Ovis aries: one gene and its partner. Each later gene encodes a partner of the first gene's protein in a complex. Links are inferred from orthologs where the notes say so. Each region holds a gene or a part of one and is shown on either strand. Other genes may lie near its edges. The genes, in order: KIT and SOCS6.

Region 1 (3,810 bases):
AGTGTATCTTGACACATTTGTCCCTAATTCCCTTATTGGTTTTGAAATGACACAAATGTTTCTTCAGTTCCACCACCACCACTCACTCCCTTGTCTTCCTTCCTACAGGGAAAACCTTGGGTGCTGGCGCCTTTGGGAAAGTCGTTGAGGCCACTGCTTACGGCTTAATTAAATCGGATGCAGCCATGACTGTTGCTGTCAAGATGCTCAAACGTAAGTTCCTGCAGGCTGTTATGGGTGCTCACCGTCAGTGTCCCAGGTTTGCTTTTTTCTAAAATAAGATGTTTTTAATTTTAGCAAGCGCCCATTTAACAGAACGAGAAGCCCTAATGTCTGAACTCAAAGTCTTGAGTTACCTCGGTAATCATATGAATATTGTGAATCTTCTGGGAGCATGCACCATTGGAGGTAAGGACATGGCCAACCTGCCTCTTGTAATTGGTCAAATTATCAAAAGGTGGGAGATTTTGATATGATTTTTGACAATGCTTGATTATAAGCTCATTGCAGGATTTTGACCCAAATGTTTAACCTTTTGCTGGATTCCCCCCAACCCCATTGAATGTTAAGAATGTATATTTTAATGTTTATAAGAATATATGGGGCTTCTCTGGTGGCTCAGACAATAAAGAATCTGCCTGCAGTGTAGGAGACCCAGGTTCATGTGTCTTGTTCTTAAGAATTATATTTTGTGTTTATCATCGTGGGGTAGAACACCCAGGAGGACGTACCTAGTTACTGTCGTGTATATCACACCAACATTGACCTCTTGAATATCTTGAGAATGTCTCATCTCCTCCAGAAAGCTTTTCTTTTATTTTGCGAGCTTTTATTTAGGCTGGATGACTCTTTAGCCACTAAAGAGTTAATGTTCATGTGCATGCTATCATTGAAAATAGGCCTCCAAGCCTACCAGCCCTCAAATCTACACCAAAAGAGCAAAGACTTCACTTCGATAAAAAAAGAAATTTCCAGTTTTGAAGCATTCATTAGTCCTCCCATCAAGACTTTCTACGATGTTTCCAGAAAACATTTTGGTCCAAAGGAACAAAGATGTATTAAAATGAGCCATTCCTCAAGATCTGGAGAGATCCACGGTCAAGTTGACAGCTTTCTGTAATTTCTTAAAACAGCCCCCATAAATGTTGCTTCACTGACATCATGAATTGTTCATGAGAGATTTTTGCCCAAGTTAGTTAGTTGTTAAATAACTTCAGAGCTATAGTGTTTTAGGCTTTTACAACAGGGAAAGAAAACAGAAGTTCAACTGATAGGGCCCCGAACACACGTGATGGCCCTCCTTTTCAGGGTTTCTCCGCACCTTCCAGTCTCAGCTGGTGGTTCCAGTGGTTGGTTTTCCTATTATGCTGCCGTTTGTGCTTATGCTCATCATCATTTCCATAATGACATTACAAAAGGCGTGAAGCCCTCTCTGTAAACAGAAGTGAATCAGAGGACTCACATAGGAAGCTTGATAACTAATGATGAAGGCTATAACTCCTGTCTAAAACCAGCAGTCATGCCTGACCCCTAATCAGGCAGAAATTCAGGTTACAAAGGTTGTTTGGTTTTACTCCACAGAATCCCAAGTTCTGCTAAGCAATGTTCATAGATAGGATTGTACTCGTGCTTGGTAGGCTTAGCATTGACCCTGAATGTGAATGACTGTGATCGCCCTTGAGTATTTTTATGGAAGACTGGATGGTCTGTATATTTCACCTCCCTCTAATTTTCTCTTAAATGCTCATAGGGCCCACCCTGGTCATTACAGAATATTGTTGCTATGGTGATCTTCTGAATTTTTTGAGAAGAAAACGTGATTCATTTATTTGCTCAAAGCAGGAAGATCATGCCGAAGTGGCACTTTATAAGAACCTTCTTCATTCAAAGGAGTCTTCCTGGTAAGACTGATTGACATAAATAGCTGTTGACAGGCAGTTCATGGGGTCATAAGGGTTTGCAATCAAGGCTGATTCTTTAAAAAAGTGAACTGAGGTACTTTGGGGTGCAAAATCAGAATTATTAAATCATTTAAATGTGATTAACGGTTTAGAAAGTTCAAACTGTTTTTAGAGATTCAAATAGTCTTGAACTTAAATTTTTGTTGCTTTTTAAAAATGTATCTTTAGTGTTCTCTGAACTTTAGTTCTGTTTAGTTGAATGAATTCTGTACCTGTTTCTCTTAGAATGGTTCTTTCCTGTTGGTCATTCTCTTTATACTGTTGAGCCAGGGTCCTATATAATTTCTGTACCTGTTTCTCTTACCGTGGTTCTTTCTTGTGTGATTCTCTTTATACTATACGATAGGGTCCTATATGCATCTTTAGAGTGAGACACACTGTTTATAGGGAACATGGGGAAGGCTGCCAAGTTGTCACAGTGAATTCCTTTAAAACCTTTAACAGAATGGCAGAGAGCTCCAAATAGCTCTCTGCACCAAGGTTTCTCACCATCTACCTCCGAATTATTTCTGTATTCCTTGCCCTCTTTTTCCTTAACTTAGGTTATCAAGAGGCATAACTACTGTAGCATATTTTTTTAAAATTCTGCACCTTATTTTCATCTCTTTTATCCTTGATACCATTCTGAATTTGAATATGTCAAGAGTTTCAAGTTCCTTTAAGAAGTTGCGTAGTTTACAATCAGAATAGAATTCTCTGCCATCTTTGCCTTTTCTTTCCAAGTGTTTAAGATCCACCATTTAAGATTTTCTAGATTTATGCAGCCCTACAGAATCATAGTCATCATGTCTAATCCCTTGTACATTTTATCTCTGCAGTTGTGTGATGGGTTTCCTCTTTCCTTTTTATTTACCATATCCCCTATATTTTGAGAAGGCAAGACTTTGTCTCCTGAACTTAACCCCAGGCCCTGAAGGAGACCTCTTTAAATATGGTTGATGGGCAATTACCTCATAAAAGTGTTTTTCTGTACCTCTGGTTGAAGTTTTAAACCCTAGATGAAGCTTTTTATTTTTTTTCAATCCTGTAAACTTTGAGTGGTGTCAAGTGGCAGTAAAATACAATATAAACCAAACCACCTTTGGTTGTTTCTCTAGCACATATGCTCTTTATATGAATAAATGAACCACTTTGCCTTATTTCTAAAACCTTGGCCCCACACATATTTTTTGATTTTCTGAAATAATGGCCTAAATAGTTCAATCCTGTGTAGTGTTTTTTGTGCTTTGGGATCCCATATGGGATTGGAACCACCAGCACGCTCTGAAGGAGATTGTTGTCATGGTGTTTCTATGCTAATCAGAAGCAGGAAGTACTAGAAATCTTGAAGACTCTCCAGCCAAATGTTACAGATTCAAGAGGTCCAGATGGTTCAGAAAATCATCCAAATTATTGGTGTTTATCTGAACCAAACTTGGCTTTTTTAAACTATCTTCCATCAGTCGCTATATGTTAACGATCCCTGTCTTCCCCCACTAATAACACATCTCAGGAGCGCCGGTTCTTTGTCTCTTTCATTTTATCTCTCTTGAGGCTAATTTAGAGAGTTAGAAGTGATGTGGGATAATGGTTTTGGTTCTCTGTTTCTCATTAAATCCCTGGTGTCGAGAGATAGGACATTTCTAACCAGAGTCCCCTCTACAGTTGAATACAAAAAAAAAGGCCATCTAATTCTTAGGGATTAGACCCCAATGTTGAATATTAAAAACTCATATCTTACTGAACAAGATTTTCTTCATTCAAACTTGGCAATACTTTCTTTAAATAAATCAGCCTCTTATGTAAAAAAGGGAGTGGAGAGATAGCCTGCCTCTCACATGCTCCCCCATCTCCCATTTTATTTACTCGT
Region 2 (4,379 bases), on another chromosome or scaffold:
ATTGTCAAGGCTGAGACGCCACACCAGCTCTGCCAGACTCAGAAGCCGGGGTCTTGATCCTGTCTTCTGGAGAAGCAGCCAGCCCACTGCCACCTTCATGCTCATCAGCCCTGCTCTCTGGCCTCCAACTGCTGGCCTTCTTCAGACCAGCTAAGGAAACACCAGTCCGATTTCCAGTCTGTCCCACGTCTTCTCTTTCTGAACGGGCTTACCACAAGGGGGGTGGGTTGAAAAGTTTGTTTCATCTCTGTTGTTGTTCAGTGGCTCAGTCGTGTCTGACTCTTCTCGACCTCGTGGACTGCAGCAGGCTTCCCTGTCCTTCACTCTTTCTCAGGGTTTGTTCAAACTCATGTCCATTGAGTCGGTGATGCCATCCAACCATCTCATCCTCTGTCCTGTTTCATCTCTAATTAATAAGTACTATTTTCACTAACCTGACTGGTCTATTTCAGTCAACATTCACTGTGATTGGACATCTGAGAACTGAGTTGCATTTAAGTCAGATTAACAATAATAATAGGAGTTTATTTTTACTTATTTTTTGGCCTCTCTCTGGGCATGTGGGGCTATTAGTTCGCAGATCACGGATGAAATCTGCACCCCTTGCAATGCAAGCAGGGAGTCTTAACCAGTGGACCACCAGGGAAGACCCTGCAGGAATTTAACAACAAATTGAAATGAGAGCTAAAGACGACAGCGGTCTGGTGAATCACATGTAACAGATGACATCAACCTTATATATATATACTATTCAGTCATACAAACCAGCTGAATCGCCTGACAATGTAATTTTTAAATTATTAATCTAGATTTGGTGTTTAGATGAGAATTACATATTCAACATTCATAAGAATTAAGATCAATTACTTGAACTTTTAAAAAACTAACAGCTTTACCGAGGTATAACTTCGGAAAAACTTTAAGACTTTCTCCCCCTAGCCTTGTTTCCTTTGTAAAAGCTCCATGCTATTCAAGAAATACAACTTTCAAAGCCAACACTAATTCTCGTTAGACTTTAATGATACTTATCTTTAACTACTTTTCTTCGAATGAAAAGAGAAATAAAAAATAAAAAATGCTTCTCGTTGACAAAAGTCCAATTTGCTGTTAATTCTATATGCAGGTAGCAAAGAATCCACAGAGTTTGGTTCCCAAAAAGTGAGTCAAGTTACCAACACGCAACTTAACATCACGCTCCCTTGGAACTCGGCGGCACAAACAATAAACTATTTCTGCATAAAAAAACCCCACTAACAAGGACTAAAGGGAAAAGCAGATGGGCTGAAACAAGGAGTAAGTTTTTCTTTTAATCAGCACATCTTACGGTTAAGCTAGAGAAAGGTGTGGGAAGGGCCCGGCTCGGGCGCGCGCGCTCGGCCACTCTGTCCCGCCGTCCGCGGGGGCCGGGTGGTCCCGGTCACTGCGCCAGGTAAGCGGACCCTCGACCGCAGGGGACGAGGCCGGGGCCGGCGCCCGAGGGCCGAGGACACGGTCCTTCCCACGTCCGCCCGGCCGCCGCGGAGGCGAGGCTGCAAAGGCGGCGGATGAGCGGGCGGGCGGGCGCGCAGGGGCCGGGGGCGCCCGGAGGGCGGGTGCGGGCGCCCGGACCCCGGCGCGCACCGGCCCCGGCCCCGCCCCGCCCCGCCGGCCCGCCCCCCGCGCCGACGCCTGCCTGCGCCGCGGGCCCAGAGGTGGGCGCGGGGCGGCCCGCTCGGCTCCTCGGCGGCGGCTCCTCTCGGGCCGGCGGCCGGCGCGCCGCTCCTGGAGGAGGCGGCGAGGCGGGAGGAAGAGGAGGAGGAAGGCGGCGGGAGGCGGAGTTGCGGGCGAGCAGGGCCGAGCGCGGCAGTCGCGCCGGCGCGGGGCGAGGACGCGGAGCGGCCGCCGCCGGGTGAGCGTCTGCGGCGCGGGGCTGGGCCGCCCGCCCGCTCCCCTCGGGCGCCGGGGGCGCCGCGGCTCCGCGGGGCGGCGCGGGGCTGCTCCGGCGCGGGCGGCCCGGGGAGCGGCCAGGGCCTCGGCGGGTCCGCGGGCGGGCTTCGGGCCGGCGGGGAGCGGCGTCCGGGAAGCCGGGCCGGGGCGCCGGGCTGGGGAGGCCCGAGGCCTGCTTCCGCCGCGCGCGCCGGCCCGACCCCGCGGCCTCTGGCCCTTCGCCGCGCGCGCCGGGCCCTGGCCGCTGCCTTTGTTGCCCGCAGCCCGGCAGGGAGAGGCCGGGGCTCGGCGAGGCCTGGGGCGGCGGCGCGGGGCCTGCGCGCTCGGACCCCGGGGCCGGCGGGCGCGCGCGGGAGGCCCGGGCCGCGGCGTGGCCGGGACCCCGGTGGGCTCCGCGCGGGGACGCGCCGCCGGACCCTCGTGGCCGTGGGCACGGGAGGACGTGAGCCCGCCCTCGGGTCCGGGCCGGGTCGCGGTGTTCGGTTCGCTTCGCGGACACCTTGGTGCCTCCCTTCTGGGTCACATCTATTGACATTTGTCCCGGGGCAGGTCCCGGCCCAGAACTTGGAACGTGTGCGGTCGTCTGCAGGCCAACTTCACGTTTAGTCGGCATGTGGAATTCGGGGTTCCCAGCCCCACTTTTTGGAACTCAGGGCCAGGTGGGAATATGGGGACAGACCTCAGGCTTCCGGTAGTGAAATATAATAATGTTGGATTCAGTTCCACGAATGTTTTCTTGAAACGTCTGCCCTGGAAAAGGAGACCTGCCACTTTACTGTGGATGAGGATGGAGAACGTAGTAATCACAGTTACGATGTGAATGAGACATAAAACGTTGCCCAAATACGTTCTTCATGGACTGCGGTCCTTGGCTGCACACATGTCTGTCATCAAACAAAAGTAAACTGCCCTCTCCTTTAAGATGAAACGGCCGAGGTGTTCCCAGCCGCAGTAGGTGTGCAGTGATCTTGACTTTTTTTTTTCTTTTTCTGGTTAAAGCAACAAATATCACAACATGAAATCTACTTAGCTTACTTGAATGAATGAGTGTTCAGTGGAATATGTAGTGCTGTGGGGAATGTTTTATTTAAAAACATGAATGGCGCTGTTTATCAAGTTTCACAGAGAAAACCTGGAAACAGCCTGTGATCTGCTTCCGGTGCGGTCTTATTCCTCAGTATTTCTGCATCAGGTAGCATGGATATGGTTAAGTTTCAGAGGCCACGCCTGCTCCAAGCAGAATATGTGACCAACCCTTTGGTTCCGACAGGGTCCCTCAGGGTTTCTTGTTGCCTTTGGGGAGGCTGTCAGACTGGCCTTGGACTTAACTAGGATTCTTAGAAGAGCTCACCTGTGACCTGACAAGTACTTTCTACCGGTCTGGATAGGATCCCCCATCTTATTCACCGAAACCTTTACCTTTTGGGGGCCTTCCTTCAGTATCTCTTTTGAAGAACTTTTTCCCCTTGTGATCTTTAAATACCTCCTGAATTGGTGGGAAGTACCTGGCACTGCCCCTTTCCCTTCTCTTACTGGGAAGGTGGGCAGGCCTTAGACATGGCCTCCCCAGGACCCAGGGGCACACCCTTGGGTGTCACCTGACACCCTCCCCTGTAGCACCTTGTCGGGGAGTGGCCCAGCAGGGGTTGAGGTGCCATTGACCTGGGCTACAGCCAACCTGGGCAGTGCCCTGGGAGGAAAACTCAGCTGTGCTGACTGGATTCCTAATCATCTCAGGCTTCTTTTAATGGCCCTCTTTTTAGGGAGCAGAAGCAAGCATCTTCTTAAAGCCTGTCTTGCTAGGTAACCATCACTCTTTAGAGAAAACTCTGGTAATTTTCTCCCTTGTGATCAGTTTTCAAGAAGCTGTTTTTTTTTTACTAGTATTTCCTTTTATTTGGCTCATGGAAGTAATCCTGTGATCTTATTTCAGAGTTATAATGTAGCTTCCCTGGTGGCTCAGATGGTAAAGATTCCGCCTGCAATGTGGAAGATCCGGGTTTGATCCCTGGGTTGGGAAGATCCCCTGGAGAAGAAAATGGCAACCCACTCCAGTGTTCTTGGCTGGGAAATCTCAGTAGTCTGGTGGGCTACTGTCCATGGGATCGCAAAGAGTTGGACACACTGAGCGACTAATACAGTACTCCAAAAAAAAGGAAACTGTCAGGATCATTTCTGAGTTTGTGTCAATACTGTTATTATTCGCTCATAAATATGCAGTCGTGCAAAATGGGTCATGCACACACACAAGATACATACAAATATGTTGACGTATGAGGTCAAGTATTCAACAAATATGTTGAAGTATGAGGCATCCCTGGTTGCTCAGATGGTAAAGAATCTGCCCACAATGCAGGAGACCTAGGTTCAATCCCTGGGTTGGGAAGATTCCTTGGAGAAGGGAATGTCTACCCACTCCAGTATTCTTGCCTGCAGAATCCCATGGACAGAGG

Evidence for each region.
Region 2: the proteins of KIT (region 1) and SOCS6 are in contact, whole or in part, in a crystal structure (PDB 2VIF), measured with the Homo sapiens proteins. The link is inferred for Ovis aries from reciprocal best matches to the Homo sapiens genes KIT and SOCS6. Residues at the interface, in NP_000213.1 of Homo sapiens: Asn566, Asn567, Tyr568, Val569, Tyr570, Ile571, Asp572, Pro573, Thr574; in NP_004223.2 of Homo sapiens: Arg391, Glu395, Arg409, Asp410, Ser411, Ser412, Asp413, Ser419, Phe422, Thr428, Leu429, His430, Thr431, Arg432, Phe442, Tyr443, Glu444, Gln445, Val448, His460, Asp464, Ala469, Phe470, Cys471, Tyr472, Ser473, Arg474, Ser475, Arg476, Thr482.

Annotation. Positions count from the first base shown.
Region 1 is NC_056059.1:70,935,126-70,938,935, forward strand, and holds part of KIT (mast/stem cell growth factor receptor Kit), read left to right. Parts: intron 1-108; coding exon 109-213; intron 214-297; coding exon 298-408; intron 409-1,750; coding exon 1,751-1,901; intron 1,902-3,810. UniProt on the Homo sapiens protein: Tyrosine-protein kinase that acts as a cell-surface receptor for the cytokine KITLG/SCF and plays an essential role in the regulation of cell survival and proliferation, hematopoiesis, stem cell maintenance, gametogenesis, mast cell development, migration and function, and in melanogenesis.
Region 2 is NC_056076.1:7,272,701-7,277,079, reverse strand, and holds the start of SOCS6 (suppressor of cytokine signaling 6), read left to right. Parts: upstream 1-1,333; 5' UTR 1,334-1,429; intron 1,430-1,687; exon of another isoform or gene 1,688-1,888; intron 1,889-4,379. UniProt on the Homo sapiens protein: SOCS family proteins form part of a classical negative feedback system that regulates cytokine signal transduction.